Linked DNA regions of Struthio camelus. The protein of the gene in region 3 purifies or fractionates together with the protein of the main gene of each other region. This does not show direct contact. Links are inferred from orthologs where the notes say so. Each region holds a gene or a part of one and is shown on either strand. Other genes may lie near its edges. The genes, in order: OSBPL8, PRRC2C, CSNK2A2 and GRAMD1B.

Region 1 (7,573 bases), on a different chromosome or scaffold from region 3:
CAAAAAAGAAAACAAAAAAATTCTGCTTAGTCACATGGGGAAGTTTCAGCTACATGATGGCATGTATTTTCTAAATATAAGTCTATTTTGTTTGGAAACAGTAGCCAAAGAGTCTAACGTGAGATAACATTTTTGACAGGCAGCCTAAAAATGAAAGAAATCCATGGCATGGGGAGGGAGCGGGGAGAATAAATCCTAAGACTCTCCTTCAAGCTTCACAAAACAAAGTCAGGTGGGGGTGGGAGGGGTGGGTGGTGTAACAGTCATCATTGAAGAGATAAAAGCCAAATAACTGATTTGGCAGTTTACTGAACCTTGTCTGAAGTGATCTGCACAAAAATTTATTGTAAAGAGACAGAGATGGAATACCACTTCACAGAATATAAAATATGCATAGTTTCTTATACTAGGAAGTCGTACAAGCATTTCTTTGAGAACATATGAGCAGACAAAAGATAAACAGTACATTTATAAGCACTGTATCCCCTAAGAGCCTTCTTGACGATTTCACCAGAGCATTTATAGCCACTAAAAGGTTTATTGCAAGTAATTCGATATAGAGCAATCATCAGTAAACTTTATTTCCCAAAGTCTTTTCCCATTGATTTTAGCATTTTAATTCCCTTTAGCTCTGCAAAATGACAATATGAAGTAATGAAAGAATAGGAGCACATCAGTCTGACTTCTTTTCCTGATTCAATTCCCACTAAAGTAAACAGGAGTTAGAGTATGCCCTTGAAATACATCTACTGACCCAATAGCTAAGCAGAACTTATGACACAGAACTTTTCAAATCCTTCCCTCTGTTGCTCAGCCTGACGTCAGGTAGAAGCAACATCATCTTCTCAAGGAAGTCAAAACCTACTTTGCCATGTCAAAACAAAGACAAAAAAGGTGCCAGGAATCCTTTATGCAACAATGAATAAGAAACGCAAAAGTTCATCATTTTTTCCCGCAACGTCAGGAAATTCTACTTCATATTGTGAAGGCTAACAAGCTTATACATTTATGACACTTAATCCAGAGTTTCAAGTACCCTAGAAGTCCGTGTGTCCTTCAAGAGTTGTGGGCAGAAATATGACCTGGATAGACTTTTTCTGAAGTGTCAGTTTTTAATTTGACAGGAATGCGTGTTTAGAAGGAGCTCTTTCCCTGATCCATGATCGAAGTAGGAAAAAGAGAGAGAGATCAATTCACTTCTAGATCTAAGTTATATCAGTCTGAACAACTCCCTTTATTTACAGCAGCTTCACAACTCTACAATAACAGAAAAGTTACAGCAAAGGCAAGACTAGCGACTCCAACCACATATCTCTGTCATCTTAGAGAATTTCAGTATTTGAAACAAACAGTTAATGCTGTTAATTAGCATGTGGAAAGTATGGCTACATGGTAGTAAGTTCACAGAACAGATTATTTCAAAGGTTAGGAGTTTTGATAAAAGTCAGCGCATGGCTGAAACAATAAACATCCTAAGAAGCTTGTGGGGAATTCTAAAAAGTTCCTTTCTAAGATACTAAGCATCTGTCAACCGAAATCATATGATTTCCCCCCCATAAGACCAGTAGTTAAGGATATCAACACTAAACATCCACTAACTGAAGAACAGAGGTGATAAAGACAAGAGACATCTGCTACTGCTCATAACGTTTGCTATGGAAGAACAACTTTTGCTCAACTCCTGTCTTTCCAAAACTGTGAAAATTAGGTAGACATTAAATAAGCATCAGCAGGGACTCAACTGCATAATATTTAATGCATCAAGCACTGATTTCTACTATATTTCCCGCGATTAAATTGAAATAACTAACACTAAGAAAACTTCCAGATGAAAAATAAGCTTTAAAAGACTTCCTGTTCTCAGACCCAAAACGGACAAGCAGCAAAATCTCACATTAGAAACATCTTCAATCACACACATGGATTAATGGTTTTCCTGGTCCTTTGAGACACTGAGTTCTACACAGCATCTCTAACAAATATGATTTAGGAAGACTATATTTCAAGCAAACGTTTGCGGCTTATAGGAATTGACATCGAGTATGTTGAACAAAATGTGGCTAGGCAACTTTTGAGGGCGCTCTGTTTGGAAGCGAGCCATCTATAAGGCCTGCTCATAAAAGACACAGAAGAACGGCTGGCAGCAGTAAGGCACCAGTTACAATAACAAGGATTTAGGCTCTGTTCCCCAGGGCACTGCCCAACGAGATTATTTTCGCAGTGCGAGTGGAAGAAGATTACTCACAATCAAAGGAGCGAATTTTTAACTGCACTTGGTACTTAACAGCTTTCAAGTTGTGCTTTGTGGACCCTTGGGGGTTGAAGGGGCAAGGGCAGTAATTAACACAATGTCTGTCATGAAGTAGGCTTAAATGTCCTCAAGCACGATGAACGCCTTGACTACAAAGCGGGACCGGCCCGAACTAAAAGGAAGTTTTGAAACGCCGCTACGCCTTGGCAGCGCGATGACAGCGGGCACGCTAAATCACCGCTTTTGGCTTTCGGCACGCCACCGGTCCCGACTTCAAGCAGGCAAACCGAAGGCGGGCGGACCCGAAGCCCTACGCCAGACACCGAGCGGCTCCCAGCGCGCTCCAGAAGCGGGGCACGGCCGCCACAGCGGCGCCCCGCCGCGACGCGCCGCCCCGCCCCGCACCGCCAGCAGCGGTACGGATGACAGCAGCCCCGCCGCCCCGCGGGGCTCCGGGCTACTGAGAGCCGCCGCTGCCCTCCCGCCGCGCCGCGCCGCTGTCCCGGGCGAGACGCGGAGGCGCCCCCAGATGGGGATGAGGACGCAGCCCCGCAGCTGGGCTCTCACCTCGGTGCCGGCGGGGAGGCGCGGCGCCTGGCGGAGGCCGCTGCCGGCCGGGAGCGCTCCCCTCGCCGCCGCCGCCGCCGCCGCGCTCCGCCCGCGGCGCCCGACCTCGCTCGCTCGCTCGCTCGCTCGCTCGCTGGTTGGCGCACGCGCAGGCTCTCCCGCCCCGTCGCCGCTTGATTCTCTCATCGGCCGCAGCGCCGCCTCCAGGAGCCCGCCGGGCGCAGGCGCGCGCCGCCCCGTCACGTGCCTCGCCAGCATGTGCACCGCCCCCGCCGCTGGGGGGTCGCGAGCGCCTCGCGCGCCGCGGCTTCGCCTGCCCGCGGCGCGGACCGTCCCCCCGCCGCCGCCCCGCCCCCTGACCCTGCCCGTTAGCTCGCTCCCCCCCGCCGCCCCGCCCCCTCGCCCTGCCCGTTACCTCGCCCCCCGCCGCCCCGCCCCCTCGCCCTGTCCGTTACCTCGCCCCCCGCCGCCCCGCCCCCTCGCCCTGCCCGTTACCTCGCCCCCCCGCCGCCCCGCCCCCTCGCCCTGCCCGTTACCTCGCCCCCCGCCGCCCCGCCCCCTCGCCCTGCCCGTTACCTCGCCCCCCGCCGCCCCGCCCCCTCGCCCTGCCCGTTACCTCGCCCCCCCGCCGCCCCGCCCCCTCGCCCTGCCCGTTACCTCGCCCCCCCGCCGCCCCGCCCCCTCGCCCTGCCCGTTACCTCGCCCCTGGGCGCACGTAGCTTCCCGGGGTGGGTCTGTGGCCGAGCGGGCAGGGCTGGGCCACAGGCGGGGTGGGGTTGCTTTCCCTGTACCTCTCCCAGCTAGTGCGCAATTCTTTCATCGCGTTTGTCCTGAGAGAACAAAAGGGACTTCATAAAACCGCAGAGTGGCCTTGCTGAGGGTCGTGCGCTGTCCTTGGCTAAGCTGTGAGCCTTGAGTATTCGTATCTGTGCGACGGCTGGAGGTGCTGGCAGACCTACTTGCTGTAGTCAGTAAAATCCGAGTGAGGGGCCGGACAGTTATCAGTATTCTGCCTCCGACATAGCTTTTGTCAGTTCAGATACAGTGGTCTAGAAGCTGGAACTGGGAGCCTGAGCCCCTTTCTGTTTCCTGTTTTCTCCCAGCACAAAGAAAATCCTCTGAAGCAGTTTTGAGGGAGAGAAGTCCTGTATATCAGGCTGACTTTGGTGTCTCCATACCTTCCGCAGGACGAGGTCAGTTTTTCATCCACCTTCATCCATAGAGGCAGGACCTAGAGGAGGAGATAGGAGACTCTGAACCTGCCCCTTTTACGAACTGCAGGAGATCCTACCATCGTTCAGGGTGATGGCTTTAAGAACGCCTGGAAACGTAAGACAGAAATAATCTTAGGCCAACCACATGTTTTATGTTAAGACTGGGTGGGTCTTGGATGGTACCAATGTGGGACTAAAAGAAGAAAGCTACTGTCAGGGAAGCTGTGGGAAGCATAATTGTTTTAAAGCTGGGAAACACTGATGGACTGAGGTAGGAAAGAGGATGCAAAGATCGTTCCAAAACCACAACAACAACAAAAAGCACAATATAATCTGAAAGGCAGAACCAAGATGTTTAGTGGGATAATTGGAGGGAGGCCTAGCTGGGAGGGAGCTGCTGAAGTTCATGATGTTAGGGTTTGTTTGTTTGTTTGCTTGTTTTTATAAGCAGCTTTCATTCAAGGAGCACCACTCCTTCAAGTAGAAACTATAACTTATACTGAATGCTGGAAACAGTTCAGTGATAAATAGCATTAAAGCATTGTAATAATCATTAAGTGTGTTTTAAAATAATTTAGGCAGTGAAAAAACCTAGTAACAATGGAAGTAAAGTGTTCTCTGAATAAAAGCCATAATTCTACAAGTGGGATGATCTCCAATTATTATGCCAGGAAGAACACCATTTTGGATTTTTTTTTCAAAAAATCCAGAGCACGTTTTAAAATGTTACTGGTAGTATAAAATGACAATGAGCAGCTTCCGTATCATGTCATCATATTTAAAATAAAATGAATACGTACCTCAGGTTTTCGTCATCTGCCAGGTGACACAACTGAAAACAGTTGTAAAAGGCTGAGGAACTTCTGAAGAGGCTAAGCATCTTCTCTTTCTGCTTATTCTGAGGGGAACTACTGTCAGTGCATTCAGAAAATATGTGGCACCTTGAGCGTTGACCTGCTAAGTAATGACGCAAAAAAGCAGTCAAACGATTAATATATCCAAATCTCAAAAAAAACCTTCTAGCTCAATCTATATTTCATAGTATTATCTGCTCTACCTCAATTATGTAGCAGTGTCACTAGGAGTCCATTATCTTGGGCTAATATTCCACTCACAATCTTTTCATTCTGTTCCTTGAATAATACGATTTAATTAAAAGACTGAGTATAATTTCCTCAATACTTTTTAATGTTTCTATAGAAATATATATGTATATATTCCTGAGTACAGAAGATTCCTTTTTCTTCTCAACAGTTAGGTATAAAATGTTGCAGAGAACAATTTTGTTTTCATTATTTGAAAGAAAGGATTCAAAATCTCTTTTTATAAAGCTTTCTATAATTAAGCAATAGTTGTCCCCAAAGGAGAGCCCTGGAATGAGATAATTCACTCTGACAAGAGTTAGACACTAGGGCTTTTTCACTGTAGAGCTGTAATTCTTAAGGTCATTTGTGGTCTATCGAATGGATTGAGTCTAGCCTTGGGAAGCAGCAGTTCTGTTCGTGTATTCAGTTCATGTCTTGCCTTATGACAGGTAGCAGTTCTTTTAAAGCTCTTTTCAAATACACTATATTTTGCACTTTAATATTTTGAGAGCTCAAAAAAAAAAAAAGTGGAAGTTCTTAAAGCTGTGCTAAACGCTCATGGATAGGTCACAATTTTAGATGTACAAGGAATATGATGCCAGGCAGTTGCTGGCAGCAGGAATTGGATCACTTAGTGGCATTCTATGAAGCTATACTGTGCTTGATCCCTTTTCCATGCTATGCTTTTTTCATTTTCCTGCAGGGCACTAGTAAACTTCTATTCCTTATGCCTTAGAGTGCTTTCTTAGCACTACAGAGTTCTTGTATTTGGATTTGTGATAGAAGGGGAAGGCTCATAACGCGCACCAAGACAGCAGTAACAATTTATGGAGAGTCATAGGCCTCTGTTAACGTGGCTTATAATGAGTCAAATAAAAGCTAGTATACATTTGCATAGGTGGTGCAAACCTGGAATATGTAACAGAGAAATTTTGTAAATGATTCCTCTTATAGCAGGGGGAAAAATGATTTGAGGAGCCAGAGTGCTACTGAATAGTAGACATATGAGTATGTAGTAGGTATGAATGGGTATCGGTATGTAGATATGTACATGTATAGGTATGTATATATGAATATATAGGTATGAGTTTATACCTCACCCATTAGGATTGTCAGGCAGAAGAAACATGTAACAGGCACCACAGGTACATTCACTAGGGAAAGTGTTTGCTTGTGTTGTATGTGTCTTTTTAACAGATCTGTAGGAAACATGCTTGTGACTGTATAAAACCAAGAGAGGTCCTCAGCAAGGAAAAAAAGAGCTCCTTTTGCTCCTTTTCCTGTAGGAAAGCCTCAGTTACCAATGTCTCTTAACGTATATGCGGCAGTAGAGGTGGAAACGGCTCTATAAAAGGGTAGGAGGTCAGTTCTATCTTTGAAGCATGTCTTTCTGTAGGGCATATGCTTTTCTTTAAAATAGCAGAGATACACGCAATTTAAAGGTGGACATGACCTTTGAGGTCATCTAGTCTGTGCAGGATAAAATTTGTAATAATATATTGAAATAAGTAAACACCTTCACCTCAGTTACCTACAGCTGCTTCTTCCTGGATCAGCTCTTGGAAAAGGAGCAGCGAAAGAGTGAGCAAGATTGTTGCTGAAGTGGGAGTGCTAGGCATGAACATCCTGCAACAGGAGTGTGGGAGCTCGTGACAGGCCAGCATCTCACAGTTGATCCCTAAATTCATGTATTCTCTGCTGTGTGTTCAGAAAACATGATAAGGTAGTTTAGAGTTTAAGTTGAACAACAAAAGGGCACAGCTTTTTGTTTTGTGGTTGCACATAGCTTTGTGGGCTGATGAGGTATGATTAGGGCCCATAGATGGTATAGGAATGCAAACAAGCAATGATAAGAAAATTTGCATTATTCTGAGATAATATACTTGCAGAGTCACTAGAGGATTATTCACTGTAATCTTGGTAAGTGTTATCTGATTATCTAGTGGTAACACATACCACATGGCGCTCCACTGGTAAGGTGTAACAGAGCAAAAGGCTAAAAGGAACAGCAGATTCTACAGTAAAGTGAGAGTTCTGCAGTCCTGGTGAGGGAGCCTTCTGCCCTTTTTCCTTTTTCTCTGGAGCATATAGCATAACTTTTTGCAACATCTGTAGGCACAGACAGCTAATTAGTCTCTGAAAATTGGAAAAAAATCAGAAATGTACTAGAAATCTTGACTGAAAACATTAATATGAAATATATCAACAACTTCCTATCTTCTGTAGAGCTGTTCCGTACTTACTCTTCCGAGAAGTTGCAGCTTCACACATCTCAAAGAAAATTGCAGCTTTTGTTCTCACCTTGAGAAGATTTTATTTAAAAAAGTTGAAATGCAGTTCTTGGTTATAATTACAAAAGCAGCTGGGATTGGGCAGGAAGAGAATAGCAAATTTTTTTTTAGCGAAATGTTTATCTAATGTGCTTTTTTAGACTTTTCTTATTGCGGGGCGGGGGG
Region 2 (7,235 bases), on a different chromosome or scaffold from region 3:
CGAAAACATCGACGTGGTGCTCTTCGCCACGGGATACGCATTCTCATTTCCCTTCCTGGAAGACTCTGTTCGCAGCCTCTTCAAACATAGCTGTTCCCTCTATAAATGCATCTTCCCTCCGCAGCTGGAAAAACCCACGCTGGCCTTCATCGGCTTAGTACAACTGACAGGCTCTGTGATGGTGGGAGCAGAAATGCAGGCTCGCTGGGTGACGGGAATCTTTGCCGGTAGGAGCCGGCGTGCCCGGACAAGGGGAGCTGGTGCAAGGGAGGTCGAGCACAGCCTGGCCGGCTCTCTGCAAGGCCCAGGCCGCGTCGGGCAGAGCACTTTCCATCTTTTGATGGAGCTGTGCATTTTGGGGCTGTCAGCACTAAGAATGCGTTAGCCTCTGGCCCCCACGGACCACAGTTTCTTTTTTCTTCTCAGGCTCCAACAAGCTGCCTCCCGTCAGCAGGATGATGGCAGATATTTCAAAGAAGGAGAAGCAGCTGGTCAAAAGGTGAGTGCTGCTCCCATGCTCTGGGCATGCTGCACCAGCCAGGACAACACGGGTGAAGGCGGTCCCCATAGTGGTTATGTCACAGACCTATCCAGGGCGTCTAATTATTCCTGAATGCAGATACTCCCACAACACCCATAGTGAGATGGGGAGATGCTGTCACCCCCTTCAATAGGTGACAACCCAAGACACCAAGGACATATCTCCCCTGGTTGAGCAGTGCAGAGCTGCTCCGTTTCTGCTGAAGCGTTCCCACTGACCCATGCCTTTCCCGGGCTCCGGTCCAGGTACAGCAGGAGCACCCCGGGCTAGAGCTTCCAACGGCCAGGGCACCCTTTCCACCGTGCTGTTCCCAGGCTTGCCCCAGACACCATTGACCTTCGGAGCAGCTTGCAGCAAGACCCCTGATGGATCAGGCTGGTAGTCCCCTCCATCAGGTTGCTAAGTCATGCCCTTATTTCCAGCATCTCAGGCTGGAGACTAGGTTTCCTCCAGACTACTAGTGCCATCTCGTGGTTTCTTCCTCCCAAAGCCAGGCACCGGAAGCTCTAGTGCTCCGTGCACCACCCCCTTGGAGCCGGGTAATGCAGGCTGTGGGTTGTTTGGGTGATGGTTTTTGGCAGGTCAAAATGAATAGTAGACAAGGCTCTAATGCATCCAATGCGCATATGGGAACTAAGGCCCTGCCTTGTTTGCCTTGGGATTTTACCATAAGTCCTCAAGGCTATGGGACAGATGCACTGGATGTGCTGTCTCGCAGTCACCAAGAGCTTTCTTGGCTGTCCTATCTGGAGCGAGTTGTGAGACCTCAGGGCCAGGCGGCATGCAGTCTGGGTTAGGTCTCACGATGAGGCAGAGCTGGATCATACAACCAAGGATACCAGTGAAAATCTGGGCCAAAACAGAGTCACATGGATTTTCATCAGGAGCCCCATCTACTCCAGACATGCACACTGTCCTCACATTTTGTTACATGGAAATACGGGAGTCTGAGTTGCAACGGAGATAAAGCTGTCTCAGATTTGCTGAAGTGGATTAAACACACCTCTTCTGCAGGGAAGACAAGGCCCCGGGAAGAAAGGGCTTGGATTTGTTCCGTGTCCTCACTATTTAAGGGGCTTAGCTCTAGCCTCTGGGTCAGTACTGGGACAGGGGTAGCGGAAGAGATCAGGCATCACCTACCCACGGGCTTGGTTGTTGAAACGAGCTGAAGTTCTCCGCAATTTCCTAATGAACTAATAGCAGATGAGCTGGTGACAAAGCAGACAAATGGGAGTGGGAGGCTGAGCTTTTCCAGTGCCTCTTGGCATAGGAAGCTTTCTGCATCTCTTAGCTTTCGCCGGTCCATTTGGCAGTCTTAGCTGTGAACGTAGACTGCTTCACCTCTCAAAAAGGGCCAAATTCAAGGCAGTGAATCTTGAGTAAGGACATTACACCGATATTTGTGGCATTACAATGATGGCAGCGTTGTGCGAGAACCATTCCTTAGTTCAGCCCCCTCCCTGGCTGCATTTTTCAGGGCTCAGCCACAGTCGGGTTATAGAGACAAAACAAGTTTCAGCCTATCACCTGCACCAGGGTAACTGCTAGTAACCGACCACACAAACGCTCTTTCAGTGCCTTTAGGCTTATTTATCTTACTACAGAGCATGGGCTAAGGGAGCTCCTCCCAGACCCTGGGCTCGGCTGGTGCTCGTCACTTCGTTAGTCCCCTGCAACGCGATGCCTTGTCCGAGCCCCAGGCGTTTGCCTGGGTCCCCACGGAGCTGGGGACCGAGGTGGGAAGGAGCGTGGAGCTGCCTGGCTGCATTCGGGGTGCTGGAAACGCGCTGGGACGCCGTTTGATTTTTCTTGTCTGTTTTATGTCCCAATGAAGGAATCCTGCCGAGGTGAACATGTGGATGAGTTTTATCAGCTACACAGATGAAATTGCGTCATGTGCCGGCATAAAGCCTAGCGTGCTGAGGCTGCTCCTGACGGACCCCCGGCTGGGCCTGGCAGTGTTTTTTGGCCCCTGCTCACCCTACCAGTACCGCCTGGTGGGACGGGGCCGCTGGAGCGGGGCCAGAAGCGCCATCCTGACTCAGTGGCAGCGGGCTCTGAAGCCCTTGCGAACCCGCGTCATAGATGACTCCTCCGACAGCTCCTCCAGCTTACCCTGGCTGTGTCTCCTTGCCCTGCCTGCGGTTCTCGTGGCGGGTTTCCTCTTTTCTAAATATGCCCGGCCATGGTGGATCCCCAGGGCAGGTTTCCATCTGTAGAAGAAACCCGGCAAAACATGATCTGGGGACAGTGCAGAGCTGTGCTGCTGCAAGGCGGCTTCAGTGGTGTCTGGGACTGTCACACACGCTGTCCCCAAGGGTGCCAGGATAAGGGCTGGCTCCTGGGCATGCCACCGAAACGGCGGCCACCGTCTCCTTCTGCTTCCAGGCAGACCAGGTGCACTTGCAATTTGCATTTCGCTGCACCACCTCCGGAGGTGAACTTTGCCGAGGAGAAAGCCATCTGCAACCCCCTGCTCTGTTCTCGCCCCCAAATCTGGCTGCTTTGCACAAGCATCGGGTTGGCTCTCTACAGGCCTTTTGGGGAGATCCTGAAGCGCTGGTCTGCGTGGCCAACGCATCTGTGCGGGGGCCTCGTGCCTCAACTCAAGGCAGGATCTCAGCAACAGGTCTAAGCCTGGGCCAGTATTTCTTGGCCCTCTGCTTGGCTCAAGCCCTTTCCATAAATCTTCAGCAAGGTCCACGAATCAATGAGATTTTTGAAACGCTCAATGTTTTTTTTATTTGCCTCGTGTCTTCTGGGACATGAAGGAAGGAGCTAGAAATAAACCTCACTGATTTGGACTTCTCTGATGTTTTCATTAACAAACAGCTTTATTATTGGTAGAAGGGTGGAGTTTTTTCAAGTGGACCTTATGTCATGCTTGAGGTGAGAACCCCATCTTAATAAAAAGGATATCCAACAGGGCACGTTTGGAAACAGAGACGGATACAGGCGGGCCTGTGTCCCCACCATTGCCTGAGCAGCCTCAGGGCTGCAGGCACATCTGAAGGCAAAGAGCAAAGGGAGCTAGGCAGATCCTCCCCACGCGCACACAGGGTTTTTAAACTCGGGGTATTGTTGCAAGCCCAGCTGACGACCGCTGAGTGTGCTCGGGGTGCGTTCACTGCGCTCCCGGAGCATCGCTCAGCAGGAGGCACGATGCATCCCGAACCTTCATACCCATCCCTGCCTGCGCTGCCAAACGGCTCTCCTGGGGGTTTGGAGGTTTGCACAAGGCGCCGTCGGCGGCAACGCGATCGCGTGCAGACCCCGCGTCCGCACGGGCGTCACGCTGGCGCGGCTCTCCCAGCGCGACTCAAGTAACTGCGTGCCGGCCGCGCAGACGTGCGCCCGGCCTGGTCCCACCCGGGAAGGGAGGCAGCGAGGGCGGGCGCAGCGTCAGAGCACCCACGCCAGCAGGGTTGGCAGGGTGCAAGGCGCTAACAGCAGCTCTGCCGACGGGGCTGGCGGCACCCGTGCTGGCGCGGGGTGCACGGCGCTGCCCAGCGCCCACCGCAGGCAGCGGCGCCGGGGCCGCTCCGCCGGGCGCCGCCAGGGGGCGCCGCGCGCGCCGCCGGCCCGCGCCGCCCCGACTGCGGCACCGCGGGGCCACGTGAGCGGCGCGGGGCGGGGCGGCGCTGGCGGGCGCGCGCGCGCTCGCACGGCGCGGTGAGGTCAGACGTCGTTGGCGCCGGCTTGGCCGCCCGCCATCTTGGCCCCAGTGTGGAAGCGGCTGAGGCGCGGCGTCGCGGCGCCGGGAGCGGCAGCGGCAGCGGCAGCGGCCTCGCCGAGTCCGGGAGCGGGGGAGGCCGGAGCGCCGGCCCGCCGCGCCGCTGCGCCAGGTGAGCGGCGGCGCCGCCGCCTAACCGCTGAGGCCGGCCGGCTGGGCGCAACGCACCGGCGCCGGGAGCGGCGGGCGAGCGGCCTGCGCCGCATGGCCCCAGGCGGGGGCGGCTTCCGCCGGGCTCCGGCCTGGCGGCGGGTGCAGCCCCGGGCCCGGCGGCGGCGGGAGGCGCCCGGGAGCCCGCGGCCCCCTGCCCTCGCGGCCCGGCGGAGGGGGGCGCTGGGCCCGCCGTGGCGGGAGGGCGGGCCGGGCTGCCCCGCGCCGCTGGGCCGCGCCGCATCGCCGCCCGCCGCCGCGCCCTGGGGCCGGCCGCGCCCGGCGGCGGCGGGCGGGCGCTGCCGGGGTGGGGGCGGCGCGCGGAGCGGGCCTGTCGGGGCGCTGCTTTCTTCCCGCTCCCGCCTCGCCTTTCTCTTCGCGCGGCTTCGGGTCTCTTCTTTCTCTCTAGGGAGGCTTCTCGAGAAACGTGCCGTCCCCTGCGTGCGTTTGCGCGTAGTTTGCAGCTGTGATTCTCGCTCCAAAAACTCTTTTTTTGGGGGGAGGGGGGGAAGAGGAGGGAGGCTTTTCTTAAGGGATGCTGGATGCACAAGCAGGACGCTGCGTCTTGGTTTTCTAACTCTGCAGTACTCATCCACAGTTCTTGAGATGTATGGTTAAGGCTGTTCCTGGATTATTTGATGCAGGACTGAGTAAAGCTCCTTTCACGGAGGTGTTGTTATTTCTCCTTGCAGAGACAAGGTTTGGAGAAGTGGAGTAAGCACAGCCAGGAGTGTTCTTACAGATACTGTTTAAACCATAGCGTGACCAAGGTTAGATGACATGGCTAAAAATCGCACCGCCAGTCTGCAGTAGGTATTATGGGAACCATCGCCTGGGGATGCAGCGATTGAAAATCTTGGAGCCAAAGATGGTCCAACTAGTTTCCCACACGGGTTGTTTCTGTGGGCCGGGGGGGCCTGAGCAGTATGCATGAGGAAATGGTGTGGGGAGTTGTCTGGAACACTTCATGTTTTCTGTGTTTCTTTCCTTTTGTCTCTCAGCCATATGTTTTGAAAGCATGTCCCTTTGTGAAAGCTTTTCTGCTCCTCCTCATTGAGTAGAAAACTGTTCTTCCTTGTTGCTTTTTAATGACTGGAGTCGAGTGGTACACTAGTAAAAGTAAGCGTTATTTCAGGCAGGTGGAACTTTTTTTTTTTCTTTGTAGCTTTTTCTCTTGTATGGTGGGACATCAGGCCTACTAGATGTCAGGTCCTCAGAGCACTGCCAAGACAAGAAGTTACTTTTGAAGGGAGGAGGAAATGGGATGTGATCTCATTTGTGCATCAGTGAGAAACAAAAGGATTGTCTTTTAATACTGGTTACCAGGAGCTAAAGGGGTCTCAATTTTCTTTGATCATATAGTGGAGAGAATATTTCTTCAAGATTGATTTTGGGGTGTTTTAATGCAGCTGTCGTACAGTGGTCTCCTTGCGACTAAGGAATTGGGAAGGTTTGAGATTTCTTTGAAGCTGGTGTATGTTCAATAAAAAGATGGTTTGTCCTCAGCAATGTGTTCTGATCGAGTTCAGTGAGTGAAGAGTATGACCACTTAGCTTATGTGAGGTGACCACTTGAGATGGCCATTTGAGCTGAAGCAAGAATTGATATAGGCCTCTGCTGGTGTGTGGAGACTAGGGTAATGACTTGTGTGGCTTTGAGTCTGTCACTTGGAACACTGCCTTAGTAGATTTGTGTTTTCTACATCAAGAAAGTATCACTTTTATAAGCTATTACTTACCGAATGTGTATAAACCAATACACAGTCATTTCTATGAGCCTTGCTAATATCACTGTAGTTATGTATAATTTCTTTACTTTGCTTAGACTCCATAACTAGAAGCCTTGGCTTTTTGTAGAGAAGCCTTTTAAAAAAATTGTTATTTCAGTTTACATCTGTAACTTCTGTGTTGCTGAAGTCCTTGTTCAATGGTAAAGGTTTATGTCATGCATCTTCCTTAGGCACGTTTCCTCACATCTTGAAGTCTGCTAGGGAAGGTGAAACAGACCGCAAGGAACAGGCAAAAGGTGATACAGTTCAGAAGAGAGATTACTTGCAGGCTTGGTCCTGCATGAATGAGTGCTGTAGGTCAATAAAATGAAGGAACGTAAGTCAAAGAAATGGGTGCTTTGTATGGGGTTTGCTTTGGTCAGATGTCCTGGGTTACTGAAAGTACAAGTTCCGTATTCCAAAATATTTCCTGTATTAACTATGGAAGTGACATGAAAGTGGAGAGGGAATGGAAAATGTAGCATAAATGCCGTATAACGATAGCCTAGATAGGTGATTTAGATGTAGAAATAGAAAGAAAAAGGTAGTTCTTGCAGAGGGGCAAACCCTTGCATAGTATGTTGGAGAGGTGGGTGAAGAAGAAATATTCCTCCACGGTCCCCCTGTTGAAGGGAAGAGGGGAACATCTCTGAAGGCTGTATACATTAATGGAGGGTTTGCGGAAAAAACTCCGCCCTGAAAGTGCACCACGTTTCCACTAGTTGGGGATGGATGTTGGACTTGTAATGACGGGACTGCCAGTGGCGTTTTACTGGTAGAACCAGTTGTTCATCTCCTGTAGCAAATTTTTTCTTCGCTCAGCTTCTTGCCCTTGTGGGGTTTTTTTCCTTTTTTTTTCAGGCTCTGGTTTCACAAAACCCCATAGAAATGTCCCATGGATGAAGGCAGGTGCAAAAAGAAGAGATGAAATTTGTGTGAGGAGGTGGGAGGAAAAAATATATGTGTTTGTGAAATGAAAATGGAATTAACAGAAGTCTTTTAAAAAAAAAATGCATAAAGAGCAGAGGATGGAGTCCTAATAA
Region 3 (6,913 bases):
TAAATCTGTGGAGATAGGACTGGCCACGCTGACCAATCCACACGGCTCTCCTCGCCTTGTTAGCTGGAGGCTGGCACTGAGACCTGAACGCATCCAGCAAGCATGGGAGAGGTGAGGACCTTGGAGAAAGGCTGGAATTAGCAGCCCCCCACCGTGACTCACCAAGCACAAGGGAGATGAACGTGCACCTGGAACCGGGCACTGACATTCCCATGCTCAGGAGACAGCTTGAGGGGATGGCTCTTCTCATAATTTCACCTCTTACCATCCCTAACAGCAGGTTAGGGACCAGCTCCAGCTTAGATTCAGGTCCTGGGTCATTTTTGCCTAGTTGTGACCAAGGGTCCACATATGTGATGTGTCCAGCATTCCTGCTGGGCTGATTTGACTCTTACTGGTCCTACCACGTTTCCAGTTGGAAGAGTGGTCTGGAGCACCTGGGTGCTTGAGCAAACTCCCCTGTTGGCTTTGTGGAAATGAAAGACTGTGACCAGGGAAGGGATTTGGGTGAGGGGAGTGGGGCTGAGGTACCAAAAAGCTACACAGTGCTGTTGCAGGCAGCTGGGCAAGCCAACAGCACATGAACCTGGTATTAATAATGATGACGCCATAGCCTGCGTCTCCAGTTCGGCAAGTTAATCCAGGGGTTCAAATGTGAGAAAATGAAGCTATGTCAGAGCCTGAGGTGGCAGAGCACTGGAATAAACCCCTCACTTACAAAGGCAACTCCTTTTGTGCCCGAGTGGCTGAGCTGTGAAGAAAAACCTGCACTCTCATTTGGATAAAACACCGAACTGAGGAACCGTGATGCGGTCAGTGCTAAAAAAGCACCCCTCCTAAAAAAAGCCTTAGGGTGATGTTGGGGCCTGCAGACCAATTAACCTCCCTTCAGCAGCTGGAGGAGGGAGTGAAACAATGATTAGAAAGAGGCTGATGAAGCCCTAGAAGAGGATGTGGACAAATCAACATGTCTCCCGCAGTGCAGAGAGGAAAGTGGAGCCTCTAATCTATCCAGACTCTCTCCTCAGGCCAATATAATAGGAGAATCAGTTGAGAGATTTTTGTTCTGGATTTCCAAAGAGCCTTTGGAAGAGGCAATCCTGAGAAACTCTTTGGTGGTCAAGGAAAAGTAGGGATTAGAAACCGGTGGAGAGAGTTAGGAATGGAAAGGAGCAATCCCTGCTTTTTGCCTAGAAGTTAATCACCATCCGTAAGCTCCTGGACGAGGGTGTTTCAAATATCACTGAGAAAATCTCTTAAGCAGTGCCAACACAAGACTGGCAGGTGACACAGGGTTATTTCGGTCAGTTTAGTCTGGAGAAGACCAAGGACATGAGCCCTGGTCAAAGCAAGGCCCGGAACGTGGCAAAGAGTGTGCATTCCTTTTGGGGCTACAGCCCTGCTCCAAACTGCTGTCACTCGTGGAGGCCCTCCAAAACCACATGCCCTGGTTCGGGAGGGGTAGGCCTGGATACCCCTCATGCCCACATCAAAGTACAGCCAGTTGATCTTGCTGCATTTCGGGGAGATGAAGTAGCAGTGGCAGCAGGGCCTGTGAAAAGTGCTGGCGGTGGAAGGGTTGAGGGACCCCAGAGCTGGGGGGGCTGGGAATGCCCCAGGGGCTGGGGGTGCTCAGAGGCTGGGGGTCCCATGGGGGCTGGGGGTGCTGGGGGTTCTGGGGGTTCCATGGGAGCTTGGAGTGCCTGAGAGACTGGGGGGCCCGTGGGTGCTGGGGGTGCTCGGGGACTGGGGGTGCTCAGGAGTCTGGGGGTCACTGGAGGCTGAGAGTGTCCTACTGTCTGGTGCTCCCTGGGGGTTAGGGGGGCTGTAGGTGTGTGTAGCGGTGAGGGATGTGGGGTATGAGATGGTGACAGGGGCTGATAGGGTGTGATGGAGTGTGTGATGGGGCGATGGGGCTGATATGGGTGCGTGACAAGAATGTGCGACAGGGTGATGGGGTGTGTGACGGGGCATGTGACAGGGTGACAGGCCTGTGACAAGGTGTAATGGGTTGATGGGGTTGAAAGGGGACGGTGATGGGGTGACAGGGTGATGGTGCAACAGGAGTTGTGGTGGGGGACTGTGATGGGGGTGTGACAGGAGTTGAGGGGGTGAAAGGTGCTGTAACAGCAGGTCATGGGGGTGACAGTGTTTGCCTGGGACTGCTCCAGGGCTGTGGCAGGGAGTGATGGGGGTGGCAGGAGCTGAAGGGGCTCTGAAAGGAGAAGATGGGTTGACAGTGTTTGAGGGGCTGTGGCTGGGGTGTGACAGGGCGTGACAGGGCCTGATGGGTGGTGACGGGGGTACCCTAGGGGTGGGAGGCAGGAGCTGAGATGGGGGTGATGGGGTGACAGGGGCTGTGACAGGTGATAACGTGATGACCATGGGTGAGGGGGGTTGTGATGCAACCTCTCACACCAGGTGCTGTGAGAGGGTGGGGGGGGAGACGGGCTGAGGGGGGTGCCGGGGGGTGCAGGGGGTCGGGCGAGGCAGGGGACGGGGATGCGAGGGGGGTGCCGGGGGGTGCCGGGGGGTGCGGGGGGTTGGAGCGAGGCAGGGGACGGGGGATGTGAGGGGGGGGCCGGGCGGTGCCGGGGGGTGCGGGGGGTCGGGGCGAGGCAGGGGACGGGGGATGCGAGGGGGGGGCCGGGGGGTGCGGAAGTTGCGGGGGGTCGGGGCGAGGCAGGGGACGGGGGATGCGAGGGGGGGCCGGGGGGTGCGGAAGTTGCGGGGGGTCGGGGCGAGGCAGGGGACGGGGGATGCGAGGGGGGGGCCGGGGGTGCGGGGGGTGCGGGGGGTCGGGGCGAGGCAGGGGACGGGGGATGCGAGGGGGGGGCCGGGGGGTGCGGGGGGTGCGGGGGGTCGGGGCGAGGCAGGGGACGGGGATGCGGGGGGGGGCCGGGGGGTGCGGAAGTTGCGGGGGGTCGGGGCGAGGCAGGGGACGGGGGATGCGAGGGGGGGGCCGGGGGTGCGGGGGGTGCGGGGGGTCGGGGCGAGGCAGGGGACGGGGCTGCGGGGGGGGGGCTGGGGGGGGCCGGGGGGTGCGGGGGTCGGGGCGAGGCAGGGGACGGGGATGCGGGGGGGGGCCGGGGGGTGCGGGGGGGTGCGGGGGTCGGGTCGAGGCAGGGGACGGGGCTGCGGGGGGGGGCCGGGCGGTGCGGGGGGTGCGGGGGGTCGGGGCGAGGCAGGGGACGGGGGATGCGGGGGGGGGGGCCGGGCGGTGCGGGGGGGTGAGGGGGGTCGGGGCGAGGCAGGGGACGGGGCTGCGGGGGGGGGGCCGGGCGGTGCGGGGGGTGCGGGGGTCGGGGCGAGGCAGGGGACGGGGGATGCGGGGGGGGGGGCCGGGCGGTGCGGGGGGGTGCGGGGGGTCGGGGCGAGGCAGGGGACGGGGCTGCGGGGGGGGGGCCGGGCGGTGCGGGGGGGTGCGGGGGTCGGGGCGAGGCAGGGGACGGGGCTGCGGGGGGGGGCCGGGGGCAGCCCCGGGGCCTGCGATGGGCGGGTGTGACCGGGGGCTCGGCGGTCCGCGGCGGGGGCGGTGCGGGGGGGCGGCGCGGCGCGGGGCGGCCGTTGGCGCCGGGCGGCGGCCAGGGCGCGGCGCGTCCTCCGCGCCGCCGGGGGCGCTGCGCGGCGGGCGGCGCGGCGGCGGGGCGGGCGGCCGCCTCTCGCGGCGGGCGGCGCGGCGGCGGCGCGGCTGCATCGGCGCCTTTTCCGGGTTGGCTGCGCCGCGCTCGGGGCCGGCCCAGGCTGCAGCGCCGCCGCCGCCGGGCACCGGCAGCGGCCTCGGGCCTCGCCACAGCTCCGCGCGGGCCCCGCGCCCGCCCGCCTGCCCGCCCCCGGGGCCGGCCCCCGCCCTCCCGGCCTGGCCCTGCCGCCCCCCGCCGCCGCCCTCCTGCGCGCCGCGCCCCGCCTCGCCGGCCTCCCGCGCCGGCCCCGCGCCCTCCTCCTCCTCCTGCAGCCGCCGCCGCCCGGCGCCGCCATGCCCGGCCCGGCCGCCGGCAGCCGGGCGCGGGTGTACGCCGAGGTGAACAGCCTGAGGAGCCGCGAGTACTGGGACTACGAGGCGCACGTCCCGAGCTGGGGGTAAAGCGCCCCGCGGGGACCCCCCTTCCCCGGGCCGCCGCCGGCCCCCTCGCCCGGCCCGCCGGCGGCTGGGGGCGGCCGGCCGCCCCTCCGCCCTGCAGGCCCCTGCCCGAGGGGAGGCGCCCAGCCAGCTCCCCCCCCTCCCCCGCCACTTTTCGGCGTCCCCATGGGTCCTCCCCCGCGGGGAAGCGGGCGGCTGCGGGAATGGCCTGGGGGAGGGGGATCCCCCCTTCCCCCCATCCCAGCCTGGTGCCCTGTCAGTTATTTTCCTCTCCCTCTGCTCTCTTTTATTTTTTTTTGGTGCCTGCAGCAATCAGGATGACTACCAGCTGGTTCGCAAGCTTGGCCGGGGAAAGTACAGTGAGGTCTTCGAGGCCATCAACATCACCAACAACGAGAGGGTAGTTGTGAAGATCCTCAAGGTGAGCGCCTCGCGGGTGGTTGCAGGGGCTCATGGTGGCAGTGGCCCTCGTTTCATTTTTGAGCTGGGAATAAGGAGGAAAGAAGCTGTGCTAGGGCCAAAAGACTGTTAGGTCTTGTCCTGCACCCCAAAACTCTTGTTCTTTGCTTTGTGGACACTTGAGTGCTGGACTGTATTTTGGGAAAGGGATTTAGTGTCCTGTGTGCTGTAGTGATGTTTCAATGTCTCCACCCCTTCTGTGCAGAGTAGCTGGAGCCTGCTCCAGGCCGAGAGCTCCTCGGGAGGAGGAGTGCTGTGAGTCCTGACACTTGAACAGTGTTGCATGTGCTGCCTGCATTTGGTAAATCATATCTGGCAATGTCTGTCTAAAACATTGCAAGGACTGCCATGTCAACAGGAATATGAAGCCCAGGGGGGAATCTTTTTGTTAACCTTTAGACAGCTGGCGTGCGGCGTTTTCAGGGTTCAGGCCGCAGGATGCTCAGCGGTCAGGCTTTAGTAAAGCAAACAAAATCTTAGATTTGGCCCTTTGAAGGATCTGCTCCATGGAAGAGAACTTCACTGTGGTCAGGTCAAAAATACTGTGGAAACTTGAGGAGGCTGAAGCAGACCATTTGACAGTTAGCAGCATTAGTGATATGCCCTGGTGTGTTGATTGTATAGAGGTTGGGGTGTGGGGATCTTCTTGCAAAAGTAACCGGTTGCAGTTTGGAACGACTAAATGCACTGGATTAGCCTCTGTAGGGCACACCTTACTGCGTTTGATGCTGAAGCAGTGTGCTTACAGAGAGGCGTGGTAGCTGTGTTTGCAGAAGTCTGTGATGGTGGTCTGGGGGTGAGGATGGTGGGGGGGAGAATCGAAAAACAGAAACAAAAGGTGCTTTTGGCTTTGGTTTGGCTGATGCTTGTGGCTGTTGTTTGTAGAATCAGCAACGCTTCTTACTTGTTCCTGAAGAGCATGTGGGAGCTAGTTTCTGATCACAGGCATACTAAGAATTTGGGCTCATGTTGATCTGCAGTGTGCAGGGAGGGTTCAGAGCTTGGAAAGTTGTCCTTGCAGCCGCTAAGGCTAGTAACTACGTAGGATACGTGTCTCTGCTCCAGGTCATAGCCTTGAGGCTAGGAGGAGTTCGCTAGATCTGATCTGATAGTGTGGCTAGCTGGCTAGTTTTGTCTTTGCTCCTCTCCCCACTCATCCACTATTCCTGCTTTCTTGGGATCCTTCTTGGTTTCCCAGAGAACTTGTCATAGGCTGCTGGGTCACAGCTCCTAGGCAAGGCATGACTTCCTGTCAGAGGAGTAAACTGTATCCCTGCCTTGACTGTGGCTAGGTGAGCCATTAGGGAGAGCCCCTGTGGCCGAGTCCTGGCATAAAGGCAGAGCAGTGAGGCTTCTGTGTCCTTGCTGAGTTCTTCTGGCATACTGCTCAGGCTTCCCCCTCCTTTAGATGTTTTACATAAGGTGGTGTGGGTTTTCTTTGTTTGTTTGTTTTTTAGGTAGGGGCAGGCAGGAGTTTCTCTTTTGAGAGAGAGTAGTCAGAGGTAGCCAGTGTAGGGTTGTATGTTACAGCAAGATGGCTTGTGGTTAGGCTGAGGAAACTGTGCGCTTCTGTGTGCTGCTCTAGAGCCCCGATGGTCTCTCCAGGAGTGCTATGGTTGGTTGAGACTGTAGATCTTGCCCCACATAAAAAGGTGCCACTAGGCTTCAGGACTGCAGAGAAAGTCTTTGAGAAATCTTCTTCCTTGCCTGTCCCCAGCCTAAAGGGCCTGCCCTGGAGCAATGCTCCTCTCGCTGTGGCAGCTGAGCTCTGTCGTCTTTAGGGTGCCTGTCAGCACTGAACTGTGAGTCGGCTGGCAAAAGTCGTCTGCGGGAGGCTGGGTGCCCCTTCTCCTTGGGGCCCGAACGTGTTGCCGTAACACCCTACAACAGGGGACTGGATTGTCCCAGATTTGAGGTAGATGGTGTTGCTACCCGTTCCCCTGGCTTCCCCCCACTTGCATTAAAATGCAAACAGCATTCCTGCAAGTGAGCAAGGAAAAGCAGAAGTCCAGATAAATAAAGGTGAACTTTCTTCTCAGTGGAAAGTGGGTCAGTGAAAGGCAAGTTTCAGAGCATCATGTTGTATACATCATGAAAACCTGCAAAATGTGGCAATAACATCACTCTCTGATCTGTGGAAAGTGCCTCTGGTTTCCTGTAGCTAGACTCAAACTTAATTGCAAACGTAATTACGTGTATCTACAGTGGAGCCTTAACAAATAGGCCGAGTCTCTGTTTTTCTTAATTCAAGTTAGATTCTAAGAGGGTGGGAAGTGCAACCAGAAGTCATCAGGTTTTTGTGTGGTTGTGGAGGTGGGACAAAGGGAAAAATTGCTGGGTGATAGATGCTGCTGTTTAGCACAGTCACTCCTT
Region 4 (7,131 bases), on a different chromosome or scaffold from region 3:
AGGCAAGCAAGAGTCTTAACCTGCCACCTCTCTTGCCCGCTCTCTTACGCTCAGGCTACCAGTCAACAGCTTTTAGACAGTCAGTAAGTAAACGACCAATAAGATGATCCAGGCTGTTAAAAACTAACCTACTACATAGAACATATCGTAGGCTGAAGTCTCTACATAGAAAAAGCCAGCCAGTCTTCATCAGACCTGGAGCATTACAGCCAGCCTTTTGAATCCAAGAAGTATTTATTTATCCACTCGGATGCGCTTACTGCACGCTAATGGTTGCGGAGCAATCATTCTTGTTCAGAGGCGTGAGAGCGACACACGCATTGCTGGAATCGATCAGCTGATGCACAGTACGCTCCCAACTACGAGCTTCGCTGAGAAACCCCTGCCACACAAACATGCAGCTATGTGGCCACGCAATGGGGTGCTAGCTAGTGCTCTTGAAGACCAAGTCTGAAGTAGAGGTAGGTAGATGGACAATATGAATCTGCTTTGCAGAAAGGCAGCTTCCTGCCCCTGCTCTTTTAAGAAGTGTTTCACATACGATGGCCTTGCGATGCAATGAGGTCTACCCTATGGCACTAACTGCTACATCTCTTTCACATTAACGCCACAAAATCCTTCGGGGTTCATCTCTCCTGCTGTGACAAACTCCCCACAAAGATCGTGTCCTCTGTGTGGCTTTTTCTTCTACTCTTGCTGAGTTATGGAAGCCCAGTGACGATCTTGGCGTTCTCCAAGCCCAGAGGCTCTGCACAAAAGGGCAGACAAAAAACACTTTTCTCCTCTGCACTGGAAAGGGAAAAATTCCATTTGAAAACCTGATACCTTTCCCATTACAAAAGGCATAGATTTGGAGCCTGCCACATATGAAGAAAGGAGATGCCATGCTGACTTTGGTATGCTAATACCACCTAATCCATCAACTGCTTTAGCTTTTTCCAATCACCACTTTGAAAACATAACCAAGGTTAAGGCAGAAAAGCGTTCAGAACGATGAATAAGCAGAAAGCTGTCAGCAAAGCCACGGAAGTATCGTGTGTACACGTACACCAAAGATTTCTTATACATTTGCACAGAAAGTAGTCCGACTTGGCCTCCGTCTCACATACTCAACAATAAGCCCAAATTAAAATCTTCGGTTAAAACGTCGTTCTCTGTTGAATTTCAGACCTGAATTTTACCGTTCTCCCACTAACATATGCATATGCCTCATACATTATCCTTATGTTTTCTGTGCTATAGCCTAAATCACCTAAATCCCTACAGCTAGATGGAAATCAGTACTACTCCTCAGTCAAGAGATGTTTTTCAACAATGAAAGCTTTCCAAAAGAGTGATTACATCTAGTGCTTGATGCATGCACTTCTTGAAGAAACTTCCTTGAAACTTAATAAAATGACAGCTTGACCTTGCAAAAGGGAACTCATAAGGGAAGACAACCTACCACATGACTAGAGTCAGTACTTGCAGAAGTAAAAGCTCTCTCCTCCCATCACTCAAAGGGACACAACAGTCAGTGAGACAACCTGGTAAACCAGGTGCAGATACAGCAAGAGATATCACGTTTGTCCTTTTTTGATCCAAGTGTAGATACATTCAGGCTTAAACCCATGCATCAGGTTGCATGGGCATTGCAAAGCAACGACAGAAAAAAGGTAGCCCACACTAAGCTAGGATATGGATTCATAACACACTAATTTCCCACAGACAAACCCTTGAAATGCCTTGCGTATTTTTGGGCCTTTGGGCAAGGCAGACTGTCCCATTTTCCCATTAAAAGGGGAGTAAGTTACCTTGTGCAGATGCAGTCACTGTCTACAAAGTGCAGAGTTAGATAAGGTATAGCTTTTTCTTTGTATTTCCACGCAATAACTCACTGGGCATCAACTTTGCTGCACTGACAAGCTCTTGGAGGTCTTTGTCAACTATCTGTCCTCATCTTGTGGAGCCAAAGAACTGAGAGACTTTTTCAAGTCCAGAAGGCAGCCAAGAATCGAACCCAGGCATCCTGACATGCAGACCCGTGTACCAGTCACAAGGCTAGTTTGTCTTTCACTCTTCTCATCACGTTCTCTTAATGTCAGCAAGTCAACGAGGGTCTTCAGACAAGGTCTCATTGAATACATATTAACACCATAAAAACAAGAGACATTGACAAAGGTTTAGCATCATCAATCCCTGTCCTGGCAATCCCAGCAGAGAGGTCACCTTCTCTCTCTCAAGGGTCTCTGCAGATTTCAGGACCTTGATGAAGTTAGTCTTATGATCACCCGCCCATTAAGGACACAGCAGTATTTGGTCTCCCTCACTCCAAAACAAGCTCTTGTCATTGGCCCTGAGTAAGTTTTAAAAGCTATGCAGAGGACCATACACAAGGACAGATCCCACCAGTGCCATTTCCAAAATGCCTACTGCTTGCGCATACGCATTAGGCCACTTGGTCTGGCATCAGCAAGAGTCCAATCAACTATTTTACCCATTCCAGCCACCAGGTGAGGACAAGGCCCCAGGGAGAAGCAGGACACAAGCTCTAGGTGAACAGCAGGCCCTACCCCTGTTCTAGGGCAGGCTCTTCCTGGAAGTAGGGAAGGGAGAGTAGCCAAAAACATACCTGCTCTCACTGTACTCCTCCTTCTCTCTCACACGCAGCCACTTCCGGAGCAGGAAGCGCTTGCGTCGCGGGGAGGCGCTGGGTGTGGAGCAGTTGGACCAGGGGGTGTCCTCATCACTGGAGGGGGTGATTTCAATGGACGGGAGCTGCAGGAATTCCTTGCTGGAGGAAGGAGAATCCTGATACCTGCTGGCCTCCAGGCTCTGCTCCTGAACATTCTTCATCCGCCTCATCTTGAAGCGCTTCCTGCGCAGGGTGGGGGTAGACGAACTGGACCAGGCACGGCCACCCTCCACCACCTGCTGCTCTGGGACATGCAGTGCTGGGAGCCGCAGGGCTTCTGTCATATTGGCAGCTGGCATCAGATACCCTTTCTCTTTCTGCTCCCACCCCCACACACACTAGCTCTCTGATCTCAGCATAAACCACACCACAAAACCACAACTCTTTCTCCTCCCTCACCCAGTTCAGTACTCGCCCTCCCCCTCAAGCAGGAAATCTCATGTTCCTCAGGTGCTTTCATTTAACAGGCCAGGGGAGGCGGGGGGGGGGGGGGGGGGGGGTCAGGACACTGACAGACCAGAAGGGGAGCCAGTTTCAAGTTTCTTTTGTCCTTCCCCTCTCCCTGCAAAACAAGTTCCCTCCCCCACCTGGTCCCTCTCTCCCTCTCTCTCTCAGATTAATATGTTCAGCATCAGGACAAGGGCTGCTGGTGACTTTCAGCTTTGTTTTCCTTTGCTTTCTGTCCTTTGCCTAATGCTGGCTCAGTGAAAAAGCTCTCCTGGGCTGTGCTGCAAAACTCAGCTGTGGGTCTTCTGCAAAGACGAAGCAAGCAGGGAGCGACGTGGAGCTGTGAGGAGGTCAGAGAGAAAGAGAAAGAAGGAGGGAAGCAACAGTACTAGATAAAAAACAGGAGAAAGAAGGAGGAGCAACGTGTTCTTTTTCTGTAACAGATAAGACATACACAGGCAGCTGCTCCAAGCGCAGCTGCACGCTTAATCCCAAGAGATAGGGTTTCTATTACAGAATATGCGGCTGCTGCATGTCAACCTAATGAAAAAGGGTAAGACGGGATAACAACTTTCTGTAGAAGCCAACTGGACAGGCTTTCCCCTTGCCCCACCTTCTTGCTCCCACAGCCTACCCCCCCTGCAGGGAGGAAGAGGGGAAGCAGAACTAGACTTCCAGCCTTCTTTCAAAGCTAAGGCCTCGTGTCTCCCTTGACCGCACACAGAGAGGGCACAGCAGAGAGATGGACAAATAGCTAAAAAGCAGTAGCAGCAGGTGGCACCAGAACTGAGACTGGCTGGTTTTTAGTTCAGGTTCACTTGAGGAAAAGCTGATAAAAGTTCTCAGAGTGCAAGGCTACTTCCAAAATGACACATGGTCTCAGGTTCAGGAATCAAAGACATCACATAAAGACATTAGACACAAAGGACAGATATTACACCAGGAGAAAAGCCACGTACTACATGGAAGATTCACAGGCACTGAATAAGCAGACAAGGCTCTCTACCAAGGGTCAAGCACTGGGAGGAATGGCAGTCTGAGGACCAGACCTGCAATATGCCAGTAATAAAACTGGATCAGGGAGAATGAACAGTGTTGAAGTGACTCTCCACCAAAGTTTTACAGAATGCTCCTAGAGCAAGCTGAGTTAAGCTACATTTTCAGGTGAAAAAGGGCACAGAAGTTAAATTCTGTAAGGGAGCAGCTAGAATTCAGCTGACTGAACTTCAAGGGTGCTGTCAGAAAAACCTTCTCTGAATCCACCGAACAATTTTGGTTTTCATTGTTCAGTCAGCTGACTCTTTGGAAACATTAATAAATATTCATAAATACTTTTTTCAGAAAATACTGTTGACCAAAATGAAAGTGTTTCATCTTGTTCAGTTTCCCTTAAAGTTTTGTTTCAAAACAGACTTGACAAGAAATTTGAACATCAAAAACTTTGGAATCTAGAGCATTTTAAAGAAAAAGATTTGTAACAGCAGCAACAAGGGGGAAGAGCCAGAAAAAAAAAATGTGTCAGTAATTTTCTTTTTATTTTATTTATATTCCCAATTGCTAGAGCCTACTTTGTCGTACTGTCCTTATCACTCATTGCTCCTCCTGTAAGTTCATAGCTTGACCAACACTTCAATTAATTTCCGGAGCTCCTGTCACCTTGGTATCTATCCATCAGGGACGCATGCAAACAGAATGCCTTCCACAAACATCCACTTAGCTCAAAAACAGATGGTCAAAAACACAGTTAATTAAAATCTGAGAAACAAAAATCTACAGAACAGACAACAGAATCCAAGATTTATTATCTGAAGACTTGCATAAGTAGCTGTGCATTCTCTGCTCCTCTGCAATATGGAGAAACCCGAATTTGCAGTTAAAGTATTTGAGTTATTCAGCCACCTGTTGCCATGATTTCTATCATGTCACCTCTCATTCAGAGGCCACCTGTACATAACATTGTCAGGCCACCTGTGAACTCAAAGAAAATTCAATTTCAACTTCCTCCTAGAATGCCTGGAAATCAAAACACCATAATACAATTCCTAAACCTTAACTAAGAGTAAGTAGACACAACTGAGGGAGAAGGGAGTAGCTCTGCTTAACTTTGGGGGGGGGGGGGAGGAGGGGGGGAAGAAGAGAACACCACCCACCCACCCATTCAGATGACAAAGAAAAAGTACTTTCCCCTGAACCACTTTTTCCACTAAAAGGAACTTGAATCTTCTTCTAATCTATTGCAACAAATAAAACTAGTAGCCTTTTGGAATCTATCATAAAAAGGTTTTCCTGCATGTATTAATGAGTCTGATTCCCTGTAGAACCTTATCAAATAGATGGTATTTACTTGTTTAATTGTACAAATAAGTGCAAATAAGCAGAGACAAAAAGGCTGCATTTTTTATGCTTTCATATTTTAGGAAGAGATCACACAGTGCACATTACAGACCCTCAAAATCTTCAAAGACATTATTCAATTAATCGGTAAGTCACTCACACTACCTTGCTCTAGACAATAGCAGCATTCAGAACTTGCTGCTTTTTCCTTTGGGAAGGAAAAAAAAGGCCCCTTTACCAGTTTTTACTGGCACGGCCAAGGCAACAAAAAGCAACTGCTTCATCATCAAAAGGACTCAAAACAGCTTCATTTAACACTGCTGGGATTCACTACAGGAAGACGGGATGCTCCCCCTGACATATGTCGACAAAAAATTCTGAAATAATTCTCTCAGCTTGTAGCTTGAGAATCCTTCCCATCAGGAACAGCATTTACATGCATAGAGGCTACCCCTTTAATTCCAAGTACTTCAGTAATTAGTAAGAAGCACTTATGCTCAAATATTATTAGGCCATTTTTATTTTGGACAAAGGATGCTGGCCACCTGCCTGATACTCTTAAAGAGAGGAGGAAAAAAAAAAGTTATGTAATAAGAGAGAGCGTGCAAACTCCTGACCCACAGAGTGAAAAACACCAACCATGGTGAAGCGCTATTTCTGTGCAAATCACAATGACTGATTTGACAGTGTCCATAATAGCCTCTGTGCCAGGAGATCCTTGTTTAAGGACTACTCCTGTTAAGACGGAATCACGATAGCAGCAAAGAGCTGTCAACACTACAGTCTGACCCAAAAGGTCTCTGGAACGCTTCACCTATGGCCACAGCAGAAGAACCAGGTGCACTTTGGCTAGTTTTAAAACTTGGTCTGTCTCCCATTCAAACATTTAGCCTTTCCAGGGTCCTTGAAGAGGACTTATGAGATAAATAAAGCAAAGAGAGTAAAAGGGGAAACAACTCTCAGGAAAGATTTTCATTTCTTTTCAGGATGAAGAGCATCTAATCATGCCAGTCCAGATTCTCCAGCAGTCCTTTCCGTAATAGTTTCCTCATGTGCTTACAAGACAGCAACATGTCATCCTTGGTAGATGAATACCGACTTAGAGATGGTATGGAAACACTCAAAGAAAAGAGTGTATGACTTCAAAGCATTATTTCAAATACATAAAATAACTGTAACTTATTCAGAAGAGCAACAAAAATCAGACACACGAAATCTGGCCATCCTGTGCTGTGGGACCGTCTTTCTGGCCAGGCAGGGAGACTGTTGCTAACACAGACTTCACAAAATTCACCAAGGCATATTCTCCCATTCAAACTCACTTTTCCCAACGTGTCAAAGAGAAGTTTAACTTGTTAAGTATTTTTCCCTTTCAGGTGCACAGCTAAAAATGGCAGTTTCTGCATGAGAAACTTGCCATGCCTACAACAAAGCAAGCCCTGCCAGAACAAAATTCTGGCTGGAAAGTTCCAAAGCTGGCAAAGTTTTTCTTTCTACTATGAAAATTCTGCAGTATTTTTGTGACACTAAATGAGAAACCAGTACTTATCTACAGTGACTTTCTCATTCCAACAGTTTTCTGCAAGAACGGTCATGTTATATTTGGAACTGTGGATCATTTCCTTCAAACGGAACGTCTGAAATCCAGCTCTGGCCTTTACATGTTAAGTTACAAT

What was found.
Region 1: the proteins of CSNK2A2 (region 3) and OSBPL8 purify together in Homo sapiens (affinity purification with mass spectrometry; 4 studies listed by BioGRID and IntAct, with this or other methods). This does not show direct contact. The link is inferred for Struthio camelus from reciprocal best matches to the Homo sapiens genes CSNK2A2 and OSBPL8.
Region 2: the proteins of CSNK2A2 (region 3) and PRRC2C purify together in Homo sapiens (affinity purification with mass spectrometry; 3 studies listed by BioGRID and IntAct, with this or other methods). This does not show direct contact. The link is inferred for Struthio camelus from reciprocal best matches to the Homo sapiens genes CSNK2A2 and PRRC2C.
Region 4: the proteins of CSNK2A2 (region 3) and GRAMD1B purify together in Homo sapiens (affinity purification with mass spectrometry; 3 studies listed by BioGRID and IntAct, with this or other methods). This does not show direct contact. The link is inferred for Struthio camelus from reciprocal best matches to the Homo sapiens genes CSNK2A2 and GRAMD1B.

Annotation. Positions count from the first base shown.
Region 1 is NC_090942.1:43,635,096-43,642,668, forward strand, and holds the start of OSBPL8 (oxysterol-binding protein-related protein 8), read right to left. Parts: upstream 3,012-7,573; 5' UTR 3,005-3,011; coding exon 2,819-3,004; intron 1-2,818. UniProt on the Homo sapiens protein: Lipid transporter involved in lipid countertransport between the endoplasmic reticulum and the plasma membrane: specifically exchanges phosphatidylserine with phosphatidylinositol 4-phosphate (PI4P), delivering phosphatidylserine to the plasma membrane in exchange for PI4P, which is degraded by the SAC1/SACM1L phosphatase in the endoplasmic reticulum.
Region 2 is NC_090949.1:8,575,681-8,582,915, forward strand, and holds the start of PRRC2C (protein PRRC2C), read left to right. Parts: upstream 1-4,221; 5' UTR 4,222-4,386; intron 4,387-7,235. Other genes in the region: dimethylaniline monooxygenase [N-oxide-forming] 2, read left to right, coding at 1-227, 427-499, 2,376-2,760. UniProt on the Homo sapiens protein: Required for efficient formation of stress granules.
Region 3 is NC_090951.1:30,370,721-30,377,633, reverse strand, and holds the start of CSNK2A2 (casein kinase II subunit alpha'), read left to right. Parts: upstream 1-3,897; 5' UTR 3,898-3,976; coding exon 3,977-4,080; intron 4,081-4,390; coding exon 4,391-4,502; intron 4,503-6,913.
Region 4 is NC_090963.1:4,960,663-4,967,793, reverse strand, and holds the start of GRAMD1B (protein Aster-B), read right to left. Parts: upstream 3,011-7,131; 5' UTR 2,974-3,010; coding exon 2,612-2,973; intron 1,812-2,611; exon of another isoform or gene 1,794-1,811; intron 1-1,793. UniProt on the Homo sapiens protein: Cholesterol transporter that mediates non-vesicular transport of cholesterol from the plasma membrane (PM) to the endoplasmic reticulum (ER).